Linked DNA regions of Struthio camelus. The protein of the gene in region 2 interacts with the protein of the main gene of each other region in a biochemical or structural test. Links are inferred from orthologs where the notes say so. Each region holds a gene or a part of one and is shown on either strand. Other genes may lie near its edges.

The links.
Region 1: the proteins of GTF2E1 (region 2) and TAF6 form a complex in vitro, tested with the Homo sapiens proteins (2 studies listed by BioGRID). The link is inferred for Struthio camelus from reciprocal best matches to the Homo sapiens genes GTF2E1 and TAF6.
Region 3: the proteins of GTF2E1 (region 2) and ERCC3 form a complex in vitro, tested with the Homo sapiens proteins (2 studies listed by BioGRID). The link is inferred for Struthio camelus from reciprocal best matches to the Homo sapiens genes GTF2E1 and ERCC3.

What each region holds. Positions count from the first base shown.
Region 1 is NC_090978.1:546,340-554,272, reverse strand, and holds the start of TAF6 (transcription initiation factor TFIID subunit 6), read left to right. Parts: upstream 1-4,873; 5' UTR 4,874-5,197; intron 5,198-6,199; 5' UTR 6,200-6,250; coding exon 6,251-6,406; intron 6,407-6,635; coding exon 6,636-6,722; intron 6,723-7,203; coding exon 7,204-7,357; intron 7,358-7,477; coding exon 7,478-7,534; intron 7,535-7,802; coding exon 7,803-7,922; intron 7,923-7,933. Other genes in the region: MBLAC1 (metallo-beta-lactamase domain-containing protein 1), read right to left, coding at 2,226-2,582, 3,061-3,133, 3,670-3,756. UniProt on the Homo sapiens protein: The TFIID basal transcription factor complex plays a major role in the initiation of RNA polymerase II (Pol II)-dependent transcription.
Region 2 is NC_090942.1:92,867,654-92,875,377, reverse strand, and holds the start of GTF2E1 (general transcription factor IIE subunit 1), read left to right. Parts: upstream 1-4,707; 5' UTR 4,708-4,909; intron 4,910-5,245; coding exon of another isoform or gene 5,246-5,291; exon of another isoform or gene 5,292-5,366; intron 5,367-5,529; exon of another isoform or gene 5,530-5,640; intron 5,641-7,724. Other genes in the region: RABL3 (rab-like protein 3), read right to left, coding at 1-113, 3,123-3,252, 4,616-4,707, 5,246-5,291.
Region 3 is NC_090947.1:29,887,842-29,895,667, forward strand, and holds the start of ERCC3 (general transcription and DNA repair factor IIH helicase/translocase subunit XPB), read left to right. Parts: upstream 1-4,732; 5' UTR 4,733-4,810; coding exon 4,811-4,829; intron 4,830-4,904; exon of another isoform or gene 4,905-4,926; coding exon 4,927-5,132; intron 5,133-6,120; coding exon 6,121-6,357; intron 6,358-7,005; coding exon 7,006-7,055; intron 7,056-7,826. UniProt on the Homo sapiens protein: ATP-dependent 3'-5' DNA helicase/translocase. Binds dsDNA rather than ssDNA, unzipping it in a translocase rather than classical helicase activity. Component of the general transcription and DNA repair factor IIH (TFIIH) core complex.

The DNA.
Region 1 (7,933 bases), on a different chromosome or scaffold from region 2:
GCAGGTGGGGATGGGGAGGGGACATGAGGGACAAGATGGGATGGGGGACAGGACAAGGGGACAAGGTGGGTGGGACATGATGGGGGACAGAAGCAGCGACATGGGGGGGCAAGATGGGATGGGGGACATGGAGGACATGGCAGGGACATGGGGGACAGGATGGCATGGGGGACAAGGCAGGGACAGGGGGGACAGGGCAGGGACATGAGGGACAAGATGGGATGGGGGACAGGACAAGGGGACAAAGGGGGGCAGGACGCGATGGGGGACAGGGCAGGAACATGGGGGACAAGGGGGACAGGACATGATGGGGGACAGGGCAGGGACACAGGGGACAAGATGGGATGGGGGACAAGGCAGGGGGACAAGGGGGGATAGGATGAGGGACAGGGCAGGGACACGGGGGACAAGATGGGATGGGGGACAAGGCAGGGGGACAAGGCGGGACAGGATGAGGGACAGGGCAGGGACACGGGGGACAAGATGGGATGGGGGAGAAGGGGGACAGGGCAGGGGGACAAGGGGGAACAGGACATGAGGGGGGACACAGCAGGGACATGGCAGAGAGGACCACCGATGAGGGGACAGGGCAGGGGACCCCGGCGTGCCTGGCTGTCCCCACCGCCAGGGCGGACGAGGTGACGGTGCCCAGCTCTGGGGCTGTCCCTGCAGGGGACGTGCCCCCCCTCCCCCGACGTCCCTGTCCCCATGCCCACCTCGGCGCCCTCCGGGGACGCGGCCGGCCGAGCGCTGGGCCCCCATGCCCACCTCGGCACCCTCCGGGGACGCGGCCGGCCGAGCGCTGGGAGGACACCGGGAGCACTGGGAGGGTGCTGGGCAGGGGCTGCCACGGGGCCGGACCCGGACACCTGGGCTCCCTCCCCGCGATAACCCTTGTTATTACCAGAAGCTCAAGGCCACCGGGACGGACCCAGGCGTCCGGGCCCCCGCGTCACATGGGCCGTTATCGCCCGGCTCGTTAAGGCCCTCGTTAGGGCTCTGCCGGTGCCAGGCCCTGCCCTGCCCTCCCTGAGCCCCCCCCAAGGAGATACCAGCACCAGGGTCTGCTCAGAAGCTTTATTTTGTGGCTGGGGACGTCCCCAAGGGTCTCCTAGGCCTTGGGGACATCCCTAAGGGTCTCCCATCCCGTGGAGATGTCCCCAAGGGTCTCTTAGGCCTTGGGGACATCCCTGGGGCTCTTCCATCCTGTGGGGACATCCCCAAGAGTCTCCCATCCCAAGGAGATGGCCTCAAGGATCTCCTAGGCCTTGGGGACATCCCTAAGGGTCTCCCATCCCATGGAGATGTCCCCAAGGGCCTCTTAGGCCTTGGGGACATCCCTGGGTCTCTCCCATCCCATGGGGACATCCCCAAGGGTCTCCTAGGCCTTGGGGACACCTCTGACTCTGTCCCCTCTTTAAGAGATGTCTCTAGGTTTCTCCTTTTTCCCCAAGGACACCCCTGAGTCTCTCTTGTCCCTCCCTTGGGGACATCTTTGGGGGGGGGTCATGTCTCCCTTGAAACCTGATCTCTGATCCCCCATCTCTGATCTCTCTCCCATCTCTCAGGGACATGCCTGGGTCCCTCCATGACATCCCTGGGTCTCTCCCAACCCTTGGGGACATCCCTAGGTCCCTCCGCAATGTCCCCAGGTCTCTCCCAACCCTCAGGGACATCCTTGGGTCTGTTCCCCACCCTTTCCTTGGGGACATCTCCAGGAATCTTGTCTCCCCTGGTGGTGTCCCCAAGCCTCCCCCATCCCTCAGGGCTGTCCCCAGCCCTGTCCCTTCCCTAGGGGCCGTCCTCAGGTCCCTCGTCCCCCAACGTCCCCCCACCCCGGGCCGCGGGGGCATCCCCGGGTTCCCACTCCCTGAGGACGCGGAACGGGGGCCCGTGACCCGGCACGATGACGTCGGCCACGGCCAGCACCCGCCGACGGCTGGCCTCCTGCCGCGCCGGGTCCTCGCTCAGCTCCCGCCAGACGCCCTCGTCGCCCTCGCGCTCGAAGAGGTCGCCGGCCACCACCACGGTGCCCAGGGCCGTGCCGTGCACGGCCACGCTGACGTGGGCGCCCGTGTGGCCCGGCGTGGGCAGCACCTCGAGGTGCCCGGCATCCAGGGCGTAGGGTTGGCCCCGGGCCAAACCGTGGGGCAGGTAGAAGCCGGCGCCACGGCTCAGGTCGAAGCCCACCAGCAAAGTGGCGTCGGGGAAGAGGTTGACGTTACCGACGTGGTCGGAGTGGCCGTGGGTGCAGAGGACGTGGGTGACGTCGGCCGGCGACAGTCCCTGAGCCGCCAGCAAGGCCGGGAGCCGCTCGCGGTTCCACGGTCCCCCCGTGTCCACCAGGGCCGTCAGGGGTCCCCGCACTAGGGTGATGGAGCCGTCGGCCAGCAACGAACCGTCGGGACGCGCCTGGCTGTAGCCCTCCTGCAGCACCCGCACGGAGTAAGGGGTCCCCGGCACCTCGTGGGTCCCCAGCGATGCCGTCCGTACCCCTGGCAGCATGGCCGCCCCGGTTTGGGGTGGGGGGGAGGACGGACGGTGCGGTGTGGAGGTCGCGGAGGTCACCGAGTCAGGGCGCCCTGAAGAGAGAGTGGGGAAGGGTGCAGGACCTGCCAGCTTCCCCCCGCCACTGGGTGAGTGGTCTCTCCCAGTGCCTCCCCATTATCCCCAATGGTCTCCCCCAGTCCCTCCCCATTATCCCCAATGGTCTCCCCCAATCCCTCCCCATTATCCCCAATGGTCTCTCCCAATGCCATTATCCCCAATGGTCTCCCCCAGTCCCTCCCCACTATCCCCAATGGTCTCCCCCATTCTCCCCCCTACTATTCCCAATGGTCTCCCCCAATACTCCCATTATCCCCAGTGGTCTCCCCCCGTCCCTACCCGCTATCCCCAATGGTCTCTCCCCATATCCCCCCATTATCCCCCATGGTCTCTCCCAGGCCCCCCTCTCCCTTGTCCCCAGTGGTCTCCCCCATTTCTTCCGCTGTCCTCCCCTCCATGTTCCCCCCCCCCGTTACCCCTCCGTGGTCCCGTCCGCAAGGCGCGCCCCCTCACCCAAACAGCTCCGCGCGCCACTGCCCCGGAAGGGGCGGGGCTCCCGCCGGAAGGTGGCAGTGTGCGCCGCCATCTTTAGAGAGAGAAGTCCCGGGCGCCGCCATTTTGGGGAGGCGGACGGGAGGCGACGAGGGACAATAAGCACAAGAAGGTGTTTCCGCCCCCCAAGGCGTTTCCTGCCCCAAGGCTCCTACCCGCTCCCCGTCGTGGCGGCCGCGGGGCTCAGAGCTCCCCGGAGTGGTCGTGGGCCGGGGGGTGGGGCGCTTCGTCCTCACCACCCCCCCGGACCCCCTCTGCCGCCCCCTATCATCCCCAGAGACACCCCCCCCCCCAGCCACTGCCCAGGATCCCCTGGACCCCAAGAGCCCCCTCCAAGATCCTTTGGGACCTTCTCACCACCCTCCAGCACCTCCTGGGATGCCCCCTGCCACCCCTCAGGATCCCCTGGACCCCACCCCCCAGGACCCCAAGAGCCCCCTCCAAGATCCTTTGGGACCTTCTCACCACCCTCTAGCGCCTCCTGGGGTCCCCAGGGCTCCATCTCCATGTCCTGGGACTCCCTTAGGACCCCGGTGGCACCACAAGGATCCCCCCCCCCCATGGTCTCACCTGCTGCTTCAGCTGTGTCACCTCGGCTGAGGACTTGTCCCACAGCTCCACGGGGACCCCCAGGTCCACCTTCACCCCCTTGTTCATCAGGGACTTCAGGGTGCTACTTGCACGCTGCCGGAGGTCCCCGCGGTCCCATATGGCTCACAGCCCCATATGGTCCAGTCTTCTATAGCCCCAAGCCCTGTATGGACCCATCACCATAATCTTGAATGGCCCAGGCCTGCCCCAAGTCCCATATAGATCAGTTCATGTAGTCCTATATGAACTCCGCCCCCATAGCCCTATATGGGCTGGTCTCTATAGCCCCACAGACCCATGTGGAGCAGTCCCTATATCCCCATAGGGACCAATGCCCCCCCATAGCCCCTCCGGACCAGCTGCTAAAGCCTCAGTGGCTCAACCTTCATGGCCCCTATGGCCCGGGGTCCCCATAGCCCTGTATAGCCCATTCACTGTGGCTCTAAACAGTCTGTTCCTATAGTCTAATACAGACCTGTGTCCCCGTAGTCCTATATAGCTCAGTCTCTATAGCCCCCTATGGACTGGGGCTCTATAATGACATACAAACCACTCTCTATAGAGCTATATGGACCAGGATCCCCTATAGCCCTGTATGGCCTGGTCCCTACAGCCCCATACAGAATAGGGTCCCCATAGTCCCATATGGCCCTTTCCCTACAGCCCCATATGGACCAGGCACCCCGAACAGTCCTACCTAGCCCAGGGTCCCTGTGAGCCCTATACAGACTGGTGCCTATAGCCCCATATGGACCAGGGAACCCACAGCCCCATACAGCCCAGGACCCCATTGTCCCATATGCCCCTATCCCCCATACAGACCAGGGACCCTGCAGCCCCATATAGAATGGCCCCTATAACTCCATATGGCCCAGGGAACTCATAGTCCCAAATAGACTGGTCCCTATAGCCCCATATATGGCCCAGGGAACCCAAAGCCCTATGCAGCTTAGGGCCCCTATAGCCCCATACAGCCCAGGGACCCCGCAGCCCCATATAGACCGGTCTCTATAGCCCCACCCGGACCACGAAACCCACAGCCCTATACAGCCCAGGGCCCCTATAGCCCCATACGGCCCAGGCGCCCGGGTCGCTGGCGCCGCGCACGCGCACTGGGAGCGGGGCGGGCAGCACGCATGCGCCCCGCCCTGGAGGCGGTGCCGGCTCCACCGGGACGCGCAGGCGCGTTGCCCGACCCGCCCGCCGCCTCGCAGGTCCTGGCAGGGAGGTAGTGAGCGCGGAGCGAGGGGGAAAGGAAGGGGTGGGAAGGCTCCCGGATCCGCGGCCGGGGTCAGACTCGCCTTAAGCTCCGTTAAACGCCAGGCGGTTTGGGCTTCTTCAGCCTCGCCGCCGACGTAAAAGCGGGCGAAAAGCCCTTCGAGGATCCCGCCCCGCAGCCCCTTCCCCAACACAGCGTGCAGCGGCCAGGACCTGGCGGTGAACGGCGGCAAGAGGCGGAGCCAAGATGGCGGCGGCGGCGGCCGGCACCGGGAAGGCGGCGTGAGAGGTGGGGGAGGGGGCCGGCTCCGGGAAGGGGGCGGGGTCGCGCTGCCCTCCCCCTCCCGGTATATTTTTTGGGGCGGGGGGGGGCTTGTGTGCGCATGCGTGTGTTCCCCCCCCCCCCGGGGTCCCCTTTGCATCAGGGTCCCCCGTCTGCCCCGGTGCCCGCGTATTTGGGGTCCCCCCCGGGCGGGATGCCCGTGGCGGGGGGGTTCCGCCGGCTCTGCTGCCCCGGTCTCTGGCTCTGGGGCTGCGCCCTGGGGTCCCCCCCCCCCCGTGTTTGGGGGTCTCCCCAGCCCAGGGGTTCCCCCTGTGTTTGGGGTCCCCCCCCCGCCTTAGGGTTCCCCCCGTGTTTGGGGTCCCCCTGCCCTTCACCCTGCGGTTCCCCCCGTGTTTGAGGGTGTTTAGGGGTCCCCCTGCACCCTGGGGTTCCCACTGTGTTTTGGATCCCCCCCGCCCTGGGGTTCCCCCCATATTTGAGGGTCCCCCCCACCCTGAGATTCCCCTTGTATTTTGGGTCCCCCCCCACCGTGGGGTTCCCCCCCCCGTATTTGGGGGTGTTTGGGGGTCCCCCCCCTGCCCTGGGGTTCCCCCCGTGGTTGGGGTCCCCCCCCCCCGTGGCATCCCTGTGTCGGGGACCCTCCCACTTGCTGCTGTGTCCTAACGTCTCCATATTGGGCTCTCGTTGCCCCCCAAAACGACCCCGTGCTCTCGATTTCTATACGATGCTCCTATATCCAAATCCCCCCTGTTTAAGTCCCCCCACCCACGATCTCTTTACATCCTATATATTTAGGATGCCCCCGCAGCACCTTTATATTGGGGTGCCGTTGTCTCCCCCCACGATGTCCCTATTTCGGGGTCTCCCGCGTTTCCGCTTCGCCCTAAATGTTTCCTTCCCGGGGTCCGGTGTAGGGACCCCCCTTTTTGGGGTCCCTACACCACGATCTCCGGTGCAGCTTGTAGGACCCCCTCCTTGCCCTGCTGACCCTGCCGCCCCCCTCTGCAGCCCCCCACGACCACCACCAGCACCCCCCAGAGGAGGAGGAGGAGGAGGAGGATGGCGGAGGAGAAGAAGCTCAAGCTGAGCCACACGCTGCTGCCGGCCGAGTCCATGAAGGTGATGGCCGAGGCCATGGGCATCGGGCAGGTGCCCGAGGAGACCTGCCAGCTCCTGGCCGACGAAGCCAGCTACCGCCTCAAGGAGATCGCCCAGGTAGGGGGGGACACGGTGGGGGGGGACACAGAGGGGACAGGGACAAGGACAGAGCCTGGGGTGGGGAGGTCTCTCAGCCCCAGGCTTCGGGGAAGGGAGGGAAGGTGACAGCACGTGTCTCACCCACTCCGTCCCAGCGTCACTCAGCCCCTTCCCTGGTGGTGTCCCCTGTCCTGGGGGGGCCGTGGGAGGCTCCTCGCTTTGCTGACCCCCCTCCCCGGCCCCCCAGGATGCCCTCAAGTTCATGCACATGGGGAAGAGGCGTAAGCTGACGACGGGGGACGTCGACTTCGCCCTCAAGCTCAAGAACGTGGAGGTACCGCAGGGACCTGTATCTGGGGGGGGGGCCTCTGGGACTTGGCAGAGGTCTGGGATGCTCTGGGGGGGCTCTGGGAACCACAGGGGGGGCTCTGGGGATGCTCTGGGGGGATCAGGGATGCTCCTGGTGGGGCTCTGGGACGTGGCAGGGGTCTGGGATGCTCTGGGGGGGCTCTGGGATCCACACGGAGAGTCTGGGGATGCTCTGGGGGGATCAGGGATGTTCTTGGTGGGGTTCTGAGATGTGACAGGGGTCTGGGATTCTCTGAGGGGGCTCTGAGATCCACAGGGGGGGTTCTGGGGATGCTTGCGGGGGTCGTAGATGCTCCTGGTGGGGCTCTGGGATATGACAGGGGTCTGGGATGCTCTGGGGGGGCTCTGAGATCCACACGGGGACTTTTGGGATGCTTGGGGGGGGGGGTCAGGGATGCCCTGGGGGAGCTGCCAGCCCTCCTCTAAGCCCGCCGTTGCCCCCGCAGCCGCTCTACGGCTTCCACGCGCAGGAGTTCATCCCCTTCCGCTACGCCAGCGGCGGCGGCCGCGAGCTCTACTTCTACGAGGAGAAGGAGGTCGACCTGAGCGACATCATCAACACGCCGCTGCCCCGCGTGCCCCTAGACGTCTGCCTCAAGGGTGGGCCTAGGGGAGGTGGCCTGGAGGCATCGTAAGGGGGTGACGGCGGGTTTCGGGGTGGAGAAGAGCTGTTCCTTGCTGTTTGTCACCGCTTTTTGTCTCTCTCTTTTTTTTTCTCAGCTCACTGGCTCAGCATCGAGGGGGTGCAACCCGCCATCCCCGAAAACCCTCCTCCAGGTGAGTGAGGGACCCAGGTGTCCCCAGAGCAGCCCCTCCTTCTCCTTGGACTCCCCATGGGAGATCTGTCCTCCTCATGGGGAAGATCTGCCACTAGCTCCTCTCGATCTGTTCTCCAAAAAAGAAAATTTGCCCCCGATCCCTGGTAGTTTTGCCTTCCCTGGGATAGATCTGCCCCCCGTCGAGGCGGATCTGCCCCCCTACCAGCACAAATCTGCCCCAGTCAGGGGGTAGATCTGCCCCCAGTCCTCCCATGCTCTGTCCCCAGCCCCCAAGGAGCAGCAGAAAGCCGAGGCCACGGAGCCGCTCAAATCCACCAAGCCGGGGCAGGAAGACGACGGGGCCCTGAAGGGCAAAGGCCAGAGCATGGCCGCCCCTGACGGCAAAGGTAGGTCACGG
Region 2 (7,724 bases):
GTTTGTCACTAGAACTCCCGTTGGAGCGACATCTCTGTTGAGTGCTTCCAAAGACCAGCGATACAGATTCTGGGATGACTTCTTGTTGGTTAAATCATGCACTAAAATTATCCCTAAAGTAAAAGAGCAGGCAGCAAGATGCTATTTCATGATATACAGTTTTTCCTTTTCCTATCAAAATGGCACCTGCAGGTTCCCAGACGTCTGGGAACTAAGACAGGGAAAGATAACTCGTTGAACTACAGGGAATGAGTTAAGGTGAAAATACGAAAATGCAGCAGTTTTTTAAAGCTCCTTCTCAGGAGTTGGATAAGAAGAAAAACCCAGGAAAGGAGGAACAGAACATCCATCTTAGGTTTTAATTTGCAACAGGCTGGCAGGCATTCCCCAATTCTGTTCTAATCCTCTAATAATGTAATCCTAATGATACTGAAACTCTGTATTAACACAGCAGAGAATTCAGCCTTTCACTGTTCTACCTAGCTGGTAAACACACAACTCTTTTCTTGTCACACAATCTAAGAAACAGAAAGGCTGTTTTGGGGCTGGGTGGGTTCTGAAGGGTTTACAGAGCACTATTACCTTCCCACAGTTTCAAGAACTAATGCCATGCACTTGTGGAGGTATCCAAAGGGGAAATAGGCTCTGATGAACTTTCACAGTCCACCAAACGCTTGGTAAGAACACGCGCTAATACGATTCCATGTAGTCAAGAAAAAGCTTCTAGCATTTTTCATTACCGTGAGCCTTCAAAATGTAAATCCTGAGATAGGAAAATTGCCAGCCAAACTTTCTAGCTGTGCTGTTAACAGACACCCACTTCTGATAACCAGAGTTCCTAACTCAATTATCAACTCCTGCTAGCAAATATCTTCTATTTATTCACACCTTCTGCCACCTGTGGAATGCTCCCACTTTCTCCAGACTTTAAACCATCACTTATTCAAGGATAAGATGCAATTATACCTCTCATCGCTATCGGGATTTGTTCTCAATACACATTTCACAGCCCACAGGTGTACAAAATTTATTTCATTTAATCTTTCATCGGTTACCTCCCAAAGATGCCACCCACTGTAAACACTAAGAGCAAACCACATAGCCGCATTCTCCACTACCCCACACTACTTTGCACAGAGACTCCTATGAGAACTCTACAAGAAAACGAGCACCTCCCCCAACATGTCACAACAGTATCACTCTTTCAAAGCCTTTATCTCAGTACTAGCAGAAAAAGAGCAACTTGACCTTGCGTCCACCCCCCAGTACAGAGAGAGAAAGCCTGATGCAAAAAAAATTGGCTTATGGCAACAGATTCAGAGGCACTGCTGCATAACTTGCAAGAAAATTCCTCCTCTTTCAGGCATCCTTGACCTAAATAACGACCTCTCTCCCCTATTTACACTTTTCGTTGGTCAGTTTCCTTACTTGCCTCGCTCAAAACTACACAAGTAGTTGGACCGGCGGAAAAGACTGTGTCAACATCAATAAAGAGCAGACAAGACCAAGGACTATTGTTCCTGCTACATAAATGTCTGAAAACCACAGCCTTGCTACCTGTTCACTGTCTCGGACTATCACCGTGCACAAAACAGATGCAGGCTCATGAAAGCTGATGATCTGTGGCCATACCAAAAGTGAATGATACCTCACCTCCTCAGCAACCAAGTCTCCCTGACAGTCTGCACAGATGCTGCTATAACCAAACATTAACTGTCTTTTGATCTCAGACTTCTCAGATCACTGCAAGCCCAGAAAGGACAAGCAGTCAGGCAGAAGTAATGCGCTCCTCTTCTCGCATCAGGTCAAAGAGAGGCAATTTGTGAGACAAGCTCTAATGAAGAAATGTATCTAATGAAAGAAACTAGAGCCAAGGCTAACTACCAGAGACTACAATTTTCATATGTGAACTGGCTAATGTCTTTCGGGCAGTGGTAATAAAGCAACCCAATTTTCATAATTCCATCAATTAGAAGTCAGATACAAAAGTTCAAAACTTCATCTCCTCATGTGCTGCTCTAGGATATTTCCAAGTCTGACCAACACGAACTGTAATATTGTGGATTTGGTGCCAAAAAGAAATCCACTTCTTCTATACACCAAAGCAGCTTGCTTTAAGGCCTCTGCTTTGAGGGCACAATTCAGCTCAGCCTTACTTAGAGGGGTCTTGTTGTATAATGTAAGCAAAAGGCACCTACGCACAATTTTTCTCCTGGGAAAGGGGAAATAATCATAATTATGAAGGGCCCTCAGATGATGATGACCAAGAAATGAGAATCGAAATAGAACATCCGGGACTAAGTTTTCTGAAGTAGTCATTAACCTAGCATACTCTTATTTTCAGTGAACTGTCCTTGCATGTCAAATAGATAGTACCTGTTAGTATCTAGATAGTATCTAATGAGATACTGCATTTTAAATACTATATTCATAATATCTTATACGCTACTTCTGTGTTCCAGATGAACTACTAGACCTACAGGTCACTATTTCAAAAGAAGGGATGCCATATTTTCCAAGGCATAAAATCTATCTTTCTATTAACAGCAAGTTGCAAGAATTAATTACTAAAAATCACTTGCCAAATTAAGCGAACAGAGGGCAAGACGGTCATCAGATTCTTGCAATGTTATGGGAGATCTGTTCAAACTTGCCAGGGTGGGACATAACCATCAAAGTTCATGTACGTGCTTTATGGGCAGTAAACTTTTCCTTGGTTTAGATTTTGGAACCAAACAGACAAGGAAAACATAAATTAAGTCTCTGAATTAGACCTGGAAAGGTGAAACCAGCTCTCACATCTACAAGGATAGCTGGAAGGGACACCACTGCAACTTCAAACATCCCCTGTCGTGCCCGTTGCACAAGGCTGGGATAGTGACACAAAGTAAAATGCTGGATGAAGCTCATTTGCACAGGCTTGCCTGAAATAGTTTTCCAGTTCAAAACTGAGTCCATAAAATTCTGCTGAAGAATGGTATCACTCGTTCCTGTATAAATGTACTGGAATGAGTACAGAGAACAACACAGCCCTCAGCCAGACTCAAGGAATCCTGCTCCAAAGCCAAGAGACAGCTTACAGCAGAAAGTGACAAAAACAGATTTACTCCAAGCAAACTTACCATTCAGCAAGTTATAAAATACTGCTCGTGTGCTTTTCACGCTAGTGGCACTGCCCACTGAACCGCCAACATCCCACAGCTCAATATAGTAGGTCTTCTCTTCTGGAGTCCCTTCTTTGTAGTCATGAATCTGATGGAAAATTCAGACCATACGTAATCACAGCATTACCTTGCAGGAGTTAATCCACACAACACTTAAACATTCAGCTGCAATGACTACTGCATTTGGACAGAAATTCGTAAATTCTAACACTGACATCATTTGAAATCTCTCAAGTAGAAGAGGACTGACTGGATTGAGTCAGGCAACGACCACGGCGGTCACTGCAGTTCCTACAAGAGATGAAGCTTGGTGAGTCAGCAGGGAACATTCTTTCCTCCTAAACACTAGCAAACCTAATGACTCATGGAGTGCTTGGACACAATGTGCTGCTAAAGCAGGTGAAAAGATGAGGTTGTGATTTCTCGCAGTTGTTAAAAATCACATGACAATACTGCATAATTAAGAATATTAGCATGGCTGACTACACCAGATTTAGACTGACCACATCTTTTTACTCCTAAATTCTCATCGACATGTCAAGTGAATTAATCAAATAGCAATTTTCCTCCCAGGATTTGCTGCGTAGTTTTGCTCCACAGTCAAATACAACTGCAACATTTCTTTCCCAAAATTTTGGGAATATAATTTGGCATTCTTTGAGATAAAACTCCTAGACAATAGGACAGGATCATTCCTAAGCTACCGCAAAGCATTTTAGGGAGAATGTTGCATACAAGGAAGGAAGGAAGCATTTATCACTATCCCAAAAGGACTGCAGGTAGGCCAAAAACTACCAGATGAGTAAACTCACAGTCCCCCGATACTAGGCGCCGTGATGAGTAGACTGCAACAGAAGCAATCCCATGGTCATGCTAGAAATCCTCAAATCAAACAAACAGCCAATTCTGTTCTCCAATGTTTGGCTGACAATTTAATTGTGCACTGACTGTTTCTCAGGGAAGCGTAGTGCAAGTTCTGTATCCTCTGATTTAAATGGGCTGCTCATCAACTTATAACACTTCAGTGGTCACTGCGATAAGGAGGCTCTATGAATGACAAGAATCTTTGCTTCTTTAGTTAGCAATCTTGTAAAGTCACAATTTGCTCACACAAGTGCTCTGCACATATTTGATACTTTTTCTTCTAACAGTTTTCAACTTTACAAAACACTGAAACACACCTCTTTCTGTGGGGCAAAGTAATGAAAACAACAAATTAACTAAAGACTGGAATCAAATTCCAAAAATCTAAGAATCTTGCTTTCAAGCTTATTTAAGTTCAAGCTCATTTACATCCCTTAGAAGAATGAAAGTCTGAATCAGCCCAGCTGAGAGTTGAGCTTGTAACAAAAAGCCCACAACACTGGGAAACAAGGTCGATTTCCTCTTTCGCATTTTAAATTATGTGTACTTAAAAAAAAAAAAAAAAAAACGCCTGGAATATCACCTACTCGAACATCCACCGAGCAGCCCACTGTCCAAGATGGATTCCCCAACACCTGGTTTTGGCATAAGAGGTGAACTAGTGAAGACTTCCCAACACCTGCAAACGCATGTAGAGAACAACACCCGATCAGTGGACGTGTCTGGGATAAAAACAGCTAAAAAGGCGGCGAGATAACCGACAGAAGCCCTCAACGAACCACCGCGTTTGTGCAACGCGCGGCCAGGGCACCGCCGTCAGTCCCTCCTGACTCGAAGGCGAGTCCGAGGCCGCCGCGCCAGGCGCCCGTTAACGGCCAACGGTCAGTGCCCAACGGCCGCGGCACAGAGCCGGGGCGAGGGGGGGCAAACGGAGGAGCAAAGCGCCGAAGCTCGGCTGGCACCGCTCGTCTCCGGAGACGCAGGCGGGCCGGGAGAAGGGCCGCGGGCGGGTGGAGCGAGGCCGGTTTCTCGTCAGGGCGAGGCGGCGGCGCTGGGCGGGAGGGCGGCGGGAAGCAGCGGCCGCGCCCCCCGGCACCGGGGAAGGGGGGCCCCCTCCCCCTGGGAAGGAGCCTGGGGGGGAGGGGGAGTGTAACTGTCCCGTCCCCCCGCCCTCGCTGTGCGCGCGCGTACTGTGCGGGAGGGGGAGGGACACTCACCGGAGTCGCCTAGCACCAGCACCTTGACCCGGTCCAAAGCTGCCATCTTACTCTACCTAGCAACAGCCCCTGAGCGTCCCGCCCTCTCCCGACGCCCCCAATCATAACTCACACTGCCCTCATTTTTCTCAGCCCATTGGCTGCTTACCCGAGCGACTAGGACGCCCTGGAGCTCTGTGATTGGCTCTTTCCCTTGTCGCTCAGCGGGCTTAGTACCGGTTTCTGCCCCGGCCACGGGCAGCACGTCGTAGTGCGCATGCGCCCCGCGGGCAGCGCCGTTGGGCAGGGGCCTGGCGCCTTGTGACGTCACAGGCGTGCGCGCGGTTGTGACGCGCCCTCGCGCAGTCACCGGAAGCGCCGCCCGGAGAGGGGAGAGCTCGGAGCGGCGGCGGCAGGTCAGTGCCGGCCCCGGCCCCGGCCCCGGCCGACAGCGGGCCGCCCTCGCCCCGTCCCCGGTGCCCGCCCGCGGCTCCCCGGAGCGGGTGGCGGTCCCGGGCGAGGGCTCACGCGGCGGCGCACCGGGGAGTGGCCGGGCGGCGGGGGCGAGCCCGCCTCGCTCCCCCTCCCCCCGCTCCGGGGTCCCCCCTCCCCCCCGCCTGTTTTAGGTGCCGTTGGTGGGGTTGGTGCACGCCGGTGCCGCCCGCGGGGCTCCGTGCTGCTCCCCAGCGCCCTCGGCCCCAAACCGGCGGCTGCCTCTTTTCTTGTATTCCCCTCCCCCCCCCGCCCTTTATGAGATACTGTTGAGCCCCTCGAGTCTCCGGTCGTAGAGGAACCTACAGAGCCGGCCGTTTAAAAACTCAACACGCAGAAGTGTGTAGAGGGTAGGAAGCTGGGCATATAGTATAAGGGCTTCTCTGGTTAGCATGGGTGTAAAAGCTTAGGCCAATGCTAAGGCCTAGTATACTTTAGGAAGTCTGTGTGACTTGTAATTTGAGGGGAGCTGCTGGATTATAGACTCCAAGGAGTAATTAGCACTGCAAGAGGCCTGGGGTGCAGTGAAATGAGATGGATGTATTGAGACAACAGCCTGCTACTGTTAAAGGGGATATCTTTAACCTCATCCCCCTGTGTCAAGTGTGACCATTGTCTGAGCCCCCACAATGAAGCCGTTCAGCTCTCTAGGCCTGCAAGGTTTTCTTACTTTGGTCTTCTCTTGGCTTAGCAAGGTTGATGGTTCCCTGAAGGGCAGGTGAGCATCTCACAACAGGAGTGAGCTGTTAAGTAGGTTCATTTAATGGTATCATTTCAAGTGGCTCAGGATACGTGAGGAAAGTGTGTCTTATGAAAGAAGTGTTCAGCATTGCCCAGTTAAGATACAATTCCATGAAATACAGGTAACTTAAGATTTTTTTTCCACCTCTGAAAGGTGGAGTTGCCTCTCATTTCTTCCCCTGCAGTGGCATTCTCTTGCATCTGCTGTTTCTGTTGCTTATCAGACCTTTCCATTAGCTGATTCAACTGATTACAATGTCAGAGAACAAATCTAGTTTAAAAAAAATTTTCTTCTGCTATGGTAGTTGGTTAATTTGGAGCGCAGAAGGGTCTTGTGAGTGTCAGAACTGGTGCAAGAGAATGGGCAGAGCCATGTGCTTGAGAGTGTACCAGTTCCCTTCCAGCAGCAGCAAGGGCTGATGGGAGTTTCAGTCCTACCCTCCATCTCCTTTCAGATACTATTTACAGCACGCTCTCACACAGGATGCCTAAGGCTCTTCTAATGGAGAAATTATATGAAATTAAAGCTAATCAGATATTCTCTAATTCCTTAATTTTCTATTTCTTTATCGCTTACATCCCCAGTAGGTACATTAGAGTTATTAGCTTGCTATATCCTGATGAGCTAAGTCTTTTCCAAACACGTTCCTTAATTGTTTGTGTTACTTTTTTCCTGAATTCCTTAAAGTCAGACACTTTCTTTCTGGGCGTATAGTCTTTGGTACCAAGCATGATGTGCCAGTTCTCATTGAACCCAGGATGCTAAGAAGGATTATTGCTTCCTTCCCCTGAGAAACTTCAAGAGGGATGGTGGGTTAAGTCAACTATACTGAAATCATGACTTAGGCTTGATATGTTTGAGAATACCTTTATCTTTTTCCCTTCAAAAAAAAAAAAAGGAAGGGGGGGGGAGGAAAAAAAAGCCCACCTAAAGAACCCTAGCACTTTGCTATGTGCAGACCAATGCTGAGAAGTCTCCAAAATAGTGGTTGTGCTTCCCCTGGTATGTACTTAAATGGCATTGTGAATTGTATGGGTTTCTGATATCCTGATATCCACTGTTAAAATATTCTAGGGCTTCACAGTACAGCTAAGTCAATTTAACACCTCTGTCACCACACGGAGAAAGCTCACTCTTCCACATCCCTAGCTGTCCTACAGCTGTGAACTGTTTGTTAATGGTGTGTGCATTTGAAGTACTTCTGAATATCACATTTGTGTGTATACAAACATATACATTCCTTTACCTAAGTCTCGGTCTTGTTAC
Region 3 (7,826 bases), on a different chromosome or scaffold from region 2:
TTAGAGAGAAGGGTTGTGGATTTGAGATCCCCGATGACAACTTTTAATATGTTACTAATGAAGATACCGGCATTTTCAAGTCATCAATTATGCTTGAATACTAGGTCCAATTATTAGAGAATACCAATGGAAAGAATACTGTTGCAGGGTTATATTTTGCTTTTCTGTAAATGCCAAGATGAAGCTGTACTCGCAGAAAATAAGAGTCAAGGTTGATAGCGAGTATGTGTATTTTCAAAGGACTTATCTGCTAATGAATCTTATTATTCTGGCTGTTTACACATATTAAGTAACAAAAGTTTAACGACTTGTATAACTTGACTTTAGTGGTGATAACTTTCATGGCATTTTTTGCTCGTGGCTCTCTCTGGCACAAATAGAATTTTTATTGCTGTTTCAGCCGATCTTATTAAACTTCTGTGTATTTTTTAACCAACTTTGGCTGGAATGAGGAAAATGATGAATAACCGTTCACACAAGTTCCATTTGATGGGAACACAAATGGGTGAGCCTTGATCCAGCCCAGTCCTGTTCGAGGAGCAGATTGTTCATTTTTAATTTGGAGGATGATAATATCCATGCCAGTACAGAAAAAAGGTATGGGTATAATTGACTTTTTTCTTGATTGATAAATCTGTTACTTTCTCAGTTTTAATTTAGTCTTAAAAACTCACTTGATTTGCAATTCCTACTGTAGCTAAACAGTCCTCTCAGTATACCAGCATGATAAGTTATTTAACAGCTGGTTTTTTAGCTAGTGCCTTTTTATCTGTATGCCTTAGTTTTGTTCATATTTGAACACCGTATTGAAATGCTATGGCTGTCGTACAATTCTGTGTCACCAAAACAGTCTTTGAGTACATTTCTCAAGTGCCCAAACCAAAATTCACTAACTGCATTGAAAAGTGTTCTTCATGTGTAATCTGCTGTAGACTTTTAAATTGAGACTTTAAAAAAGTGATTTTTGAAGTACTTCCTGATGAGTACTACCTAAGCTAATACAGTTTTCATATTGCATTTTGGAGACTGTAAACTGATGCAGAAAAACTACTTCTCTGCACTCATACAGACGCTGTTACAGCCAAGATACAGTTTCCTAGCTCTCTGGGTACTAGACTCTGGTTTTACTGCAGAGATCTTAAAAGTTCTTAATGGGCTAGTAAGTGACGGTTGGTGTACTTCTAAATATGTTACTGTACTCAAAGTTGTCTACTTTCAATATAGAGGAATATTAGTTCTGATTTAGCAGTTCGGCAAACTCCTCAGTGAAGCTAGCTTTGTTCCCGTTAAACTGTTCCCTGTTTCTGTTAGATAATCCTAATCCTGCCATTGTCTTGACTGAAAGCCTTCTTGCAGCACCAGGAGGTACAGTGCAGTACAGCAAGCCATTCTTTTTAGACAACATAGAGCAATGCGTATGCAGCTTCAGAGACTTGAGCAAATTGATCAGATCTATAGTTACTTAAAATTGAATTTTGATTTTTTTTTTTTCAGTCTTGAAAGTTTGTCATGCATATGAAAAAGCGTAACTTGTGTGCTTGAATGTAAGTCCATATGGTGTTTCTGGAAAAGCAAAAGTATTACTGCCAGTATCTCTTCTTCTTGCTGGTAACTTGCTGTCTTGTGTTCATGACAAGTATGCAGTGTAAAATCACATACAATTACCAAAGCTTTTCTATCCCCATCTACATATAGCCAAAAGTGATGTTTCATGGATTAGTACTGTTCCTTATATACGCATATATATGTCAGTAAGCTATCGCTAACTGAAGAAAGCAGGTACTAGTAAAAAGTGATGGACACTGCCCATATTTAAAAGATTTGGGTGTTTGTTGTTGCTGTTTTGATGTGCAAAATTCATGCCAGCATTAAAATGAAGAGTTTGTTTTTTAAAACTCTTTTTAACTTAATCTTATCGATGTCATTCTAAAAATAACGTACAAGCTTGGTGACTGCATTTGGCAACTTACTTTGTAGCCAGGTTTGAGTTTTGGGACACTTACGGAATACCATGAAGAAAAGTAGATTCGTGATCCACGTTGCTCTGTGCTCCACAATAAGAAAATTTCAAAGCTGCTGCGAAGCAGTCTGTTTTACTTCAGAGCCAGATCTCACCCACAACTTTAAGGGGTGTATGCTGCCTTCAAGAGGAGCCCCAAACGCACACCAAAGGGGGCAGAATTGCTTCCAAACTGGGGTTTCTAACTCAAAATTCTTGATCGGAAGCAAAGGATCTTTTTTCATTTTATTTTCTCTGCTTTGCCTATGCACAGTCCATTTTTTCATTTTAATTGGCATTACTGAAATACTGCGTAGGTGGTGGCCACCGATAGCTTCTGAATTTCACGAGCGTTAACATAGAGCGAAATGCCACGGCTCCGCCACGGGAGTCAGAGGCCCTGCAGATCCCTGCTGCTGGAGGGAGTCGGGCTCAGGCTGCGGGGTGGGCGCGCTGGGGCAGAGCAGCGTCGCGCGGCCCTGCGCTCCGGGGATGCGACCCGTGTCCTGCAGCTCCTGGCCATACGGGGAGTTTGGCAGGTGACTCTCGTGGCCACGCGCTGTGCTACATAAAGCAACTGGTTGGTTTCTCTCTAGCAATGTATACATCCGTATATTTGAGGGGCAAGGGGAGATGGAGAAAATTCTCGTGTATCAAACAGTGTTAGCAGTCATGCTTTGGCTAGGTCTTATTTCTTCATGAACCTGCTTTAAAGGGAGAGGAACTGGATTAAATACGTTAAAATCCTATCTTGTGATTCAGTCCTTACTCTGAGTCCACTGATCAGGACTGGAGGTCAAGGTCTTTTGTGGGGAAATAAGGAAAAGGATATGGTAACTCTAGAGTGGCTACTTGCAGGAAATATTTCAAATGTTTTTCATGTCTTTTCCCCCAATAATAGCTTATCCTTTTCCCCAAAGAGTATATAATGTGGATTTAAAAACAAGGATTGCATTTTCTTTTCTGAACAGGCATCAGATTGTCAGTTTCCTAGTGTTTGTTTCTCATGAATACCAGTTTAAAAGGTGGTGTCATCCTAAAATTGAAATAGTTTATTATGAAAAATAGTGTCTGTCATCTCAGACCTCACGCAAGTCATATAAAGGAATATCATTGTAAATATGTGGAGGGAGACTTAGATAAATTGGAACGTAGGCTTTTAGTTTTCATGAAGCTAGGAATTAAAATTTGTAAATTTACTCTTGATCTAATGTACATTTTTTTATGTAGCCATTAAATTCTCTATTTAATCTATCAGTTTCTCACTGTAAATGTTTTTACTCTCAGTTGAATGCTGGGCACAGTTTGTAATGTATGTACACAAAGGTGTTTTTTTCTATCAACGTTGACTTTTTTGCACATTTCTGGAAATATTTAATTTGTACACTGATTTAATACTCTGACCAATTGTTGAGGGGCGTATGAGAATCACGTGTGTGTGCAATGTACTACTGTCTGGATGTATGGTTTTTTTATTACTTTTGAGATGTTGCTATCAGTAACTGCACTGCTGTTGCTGCTTTACATGGAATATCTTGTGTATAAAAAAGAAAAAAAATTAAAAATTAGCCTATGGTTATCTTGGTTGAGGAACTCAGGAGTTGAGCGTTGCTTACTAGTTCCATTTGTCTAACAACCTTCCAAACTTAAGGGTACTTGTAATTCTATGTATGCGTTGAATGGTTGTGTGTATATATATATATCCCAGTAATCTTATTCCACAATTTCATTTTTACATTTTTATGAACTTGTTTTTTAAGGGTACTATGTTTAGTTAGAATAATTAAATATATAAAAGCTTTGAGAGATTATTTACTAGATAAATATATTTTCAGCTGGCTGATGTTCAAAATATTTTTTTAATTTTTGTTTTTAACCATTCAAAATGTATTTGTATTTCCAAAATCAGACACGAATTGTACTTTAGAGATGATATTAAAACACTCTGTAGGGACAACAGTGTGATTTCTCTTTTAAGAATTTTGTTTAAAAAAAAAAAACGGACAAAAAACCCCAAATGCTGAAGTATTTAATTGATGCAGAGAAAATACACTGTTCTGAAAAGGTGAAAAGCAATCTTTGAATCCCCAGAGCTGACTGGGGAATAAAGAAGGGGGAAGACAACACCAGTCGGGGAAGCCCCTTCTGCGCTCCCCTGCCCCGGTCTGCCTCGGGCTCTCCTTGGCAGCCCCTCTCCCTTGCTCCTTCGCTCATGCTGGGAAAAGATTAAAGCACCTTTGTCCCCCTGCTGATGGGTGAACGTCATACGTTGGCAACATGCTTTAAAGACTTGGCCTACTCTCTTACACGAGCAGCATGTCAATCCAACACCTGAATTTCCAGTGCTCTTCAGAAAGCCTAAAGCGGTGCCAAGGAAGGCTTGTCGCGCTAGTCCCGCGGCGCGCTGCTGCCTTGTCCTTAAGCCCTAGCTCAGAAAGAGCTGACCGACTCCGTGCGCTCTGTCCGTCGCCTCTCATGCACGTTTGACTTTGTTATGTTTTCAAAACTGTTCTTGTTTAAAAAAAAATTATAAACATTTTTGATTTTTTTTTAAACCAGTTTCTCTGTATTTACCTGTTTTATTTTCTTGCTGGTCGCTGCCTTTCCGTTCGCCCGGGCGGGCAGCAGCCACCTCCCTCCCCTGCGCGGGCGGCCGCGGCGCCTGCCGAAAACGGCGCTTTGAGCGTCCCCAAACGGGAATATTCCACTTCCCGCTCTGCCCCCGGCGCGGCGGGCGGCCGTGACGTCACGCCCCTCCCCGGCGGAAGTGACGCGACCGTTCCCCCCCCCACACTGCGGGGCGAGGCGGCCATGGGCAGGAAGGAGCGGGGTGAGCGCGGCGGGGGCGGTGGGGGGGGGGGTCCGGCTCCCACCCCCCATTCAACGCCCCCCCCCCCCCGCTCACCCCGCTCCTGATGGTTTCGCAGACAAGAAGAAGTCCAAGAAGCGCCATTACGAAGAGGACGACGAGGAGGACGATGACGCTGCCGGCAAAGACCCGCAGGAAGCGGTGCCGTCCGCGGCCGGGAAGCAGGTGGAGGAGAGCGGCGCCCGGGTGGACGAGTACGGCGCCAAGGATTACCGGCAGCACATGCCGCTGAAGGCCGACCACGCCTCGCGGCCCCTCTGGGTGGTGCGTGCGGGCCGCGCGGCCGGCGGGGGCGGGCGGGGGCCGCCGCGCCGGGCGCTCCTTTCTGCACGCGTGCAGTCACCTTAACGGGTTGGGGGAGCACGAGTACGTTAGCTAGCTGTTTCCGGGAGGAATGCGAAACCGGCTCTGGCAGAAACCGGTGGAGTTAATAAGACAAGTAGGATGCGTTGGTCCCTCACGCAGTAACTTGGTTTGTACGTTGGAATGAAACGTCACTAATCAACGTGGTCTGATATCCCCTATCTGGTACCGTTTGTTTTCTCTGCGTTAAAAGGGAAGTCAAGAAACCTATGTAAAACATGGCCAATAGCGAAAGCATATTTAGAAGAGGCAGCTGCCCTGCCAGCTTCTGCAGGGTGTCTGTTATTGAATGCTGTGAAACACAGTTGGCACCTTTCCTCCTCTCTTCCTTCTGGTAAAATGGGGGACGGGGAGGAAGGGAAGTTTGGAAGCTTGCTCCTGTTTGGAGCAAGAAAATGTATTTTTTTTTTTAATTGTTAAAACAAAGAATGAGAAAAAGGCTAAGATGTTAGTCTAGAAAGCTTAATCAATCTGGATGTGTTTTTTTTGTTAGCATCCTAGAAAGGCTACTGACAAACGCAGAAGATGAAAGTTTCATATTCCTGTATCTCCTTCTGTGTCTTGTCAGTTTTTGTAGTTCTGTGTAAAGTTTTCTCTTTTTTTTAAAGAGTCTCAACACCTTGATGGGGAGAAACAGCTACAGTGATATACAGTGTATATTGTGTTAGTTTCTTCATTTCTTTAATTTAGGTCTTGTTTATAAAATTATATTATTTCTGCTTGTTGTAATTTCATTGTTAGGGTCGTCACTTTTTCTGAAACGTGGTGATAACGTTATCACCTAAAGAGTGAAGTCATTCTGTGTCATAACAGCTGTTTGACAGGACACTCCTTGTTTTTCTCAACTAACATTGGTGTGCTTTCAGCATGTTTTTTCTTCCTTGTGTAGGCTCCTGATGGCCATATCTTTCTGGAAGCCTTTTCTCCAGTTTACAAATACGCACAGGATTTTTTGGTTGCTATTGCTGAGCCAGTGTGCAGACCAACACACATCCATGAATACAAGCTGACTGCTTACTCGCTTTATGCTGCTGTTAGTGTTGGCTTACAAACAAGCGACATCACAGAGTATTTACAAAAACTGAGCAAGACTGGTGTCCCAGATGGAATAATTCAGTTTATCAAGGTAAGCCTATTATGGGAAATTTATCTGCTGCTACTGCGGAAATCTCTTCCTGCTGCTGCTGCTGCTTCATTGGTTTTTACTCACTCATTGCTTTCACAGTCATATTCTATCCTGTTACTCTGTTTCAAGAGGTCAGAGACTTTACTGTGGATAAAGACAAAAAATAAGATACATGGTTGCACAAATAATATTTTCATAATGTAGCCTATATGTGGCTTATAGCTTGAAATGGAGGTCCTAAAACAAAGCCTTAGTGTGCATGCTTTAGGCCAGAGGAAACGCACGTGGAGTAAGCTTCCTCATATTTACTCTGAAGGTTAGTAATGTGGGAAGTTAGCTGGAGTAGTTGGTGCACTATAAAACAGAGCCTCCTTATCTTGCAAGTGTGTTTTTGCCATCCTAGAAGGAGACTGGAATTGAATATAAAAACTGAATGTCTGTGGTTGATCTCCTATGTGAGATGATGTATGCATAATCTGAAAGTAGTTGTTAAAGTAGTTTTTTTTCCCTAAGCATAATAACACTGTAAGTAAATGTTTGACTCTGTTGCCCTTTCCCACAAAAAATGGAAATGTGTTGCAGTATCTGATCCCAAACCTAGAAACAATCCTTTATACGTTCCTAATGACTATTCTTATTTGTTTGTAGCTGTGTACTGTCAGCTATGGGAAGGTAAAGCTGGTACTGAAACACAACAGGTAAGCAGCTTCTTCCTTAATTAGCATGGAGGAGGAAGTCTTCGAAACAAGCGCACCGCTGTACATAAACAACTCTGACTGTGGTCTCAGTAGCTGTTGAGTTGAAAACTGCGTTACAGCTCCCAGTTGATTGCGACATACATTACCACAAGATCATATTCTCAGTTGTTTCAAAGCATTTAATGCATTAGTCAATGCATTCAGTTTGACTCTCCTGAGCTCCTGGTGCTGATCATTACGTTACTGCAACAGGATACTAATTTGATGTTCTAGCTTGTTTCTTTATTGCTTGGACTTGCAATGTCTCATTAAGGTTTTCAGATAATTGTTTCATTCATTCACTCCCAATTTATAAGAATCTAGGTTAGAAAGCTTTTCTACAGCTGTCCTTCAGTCTCATGTGTTTTTATTTGTAATCTGTTATTCAGGAAGGACAAGCAAGTGGCCTGACAAGAGGCGTGTGTTTGTGTGAAATCTGCTTACTGGATTGAATCTGATGTGTTCTATGTATGGAAGATAAAGTTGGAAGGAATCTTGAGAGATCCACTGGTTTAGAGCTAACCGGTTTTATGTAAACCTATGATTTTGAGGTAGCGAGAGGAGAGGGAAGGAGAAAGCAGAAAACTCAAACTTCTCCTAACACTTTCCTGTGTTATCCCTGTCTCCCTTTCTTTTCTTCATAAAGTTCTTTTCTGTCTTACAGCCGCAGTTGAGCCCTAGGACTCTAATCTAGTGTGCTGCTGCTTCTTTTTTGATTCTAAAACTAATGCT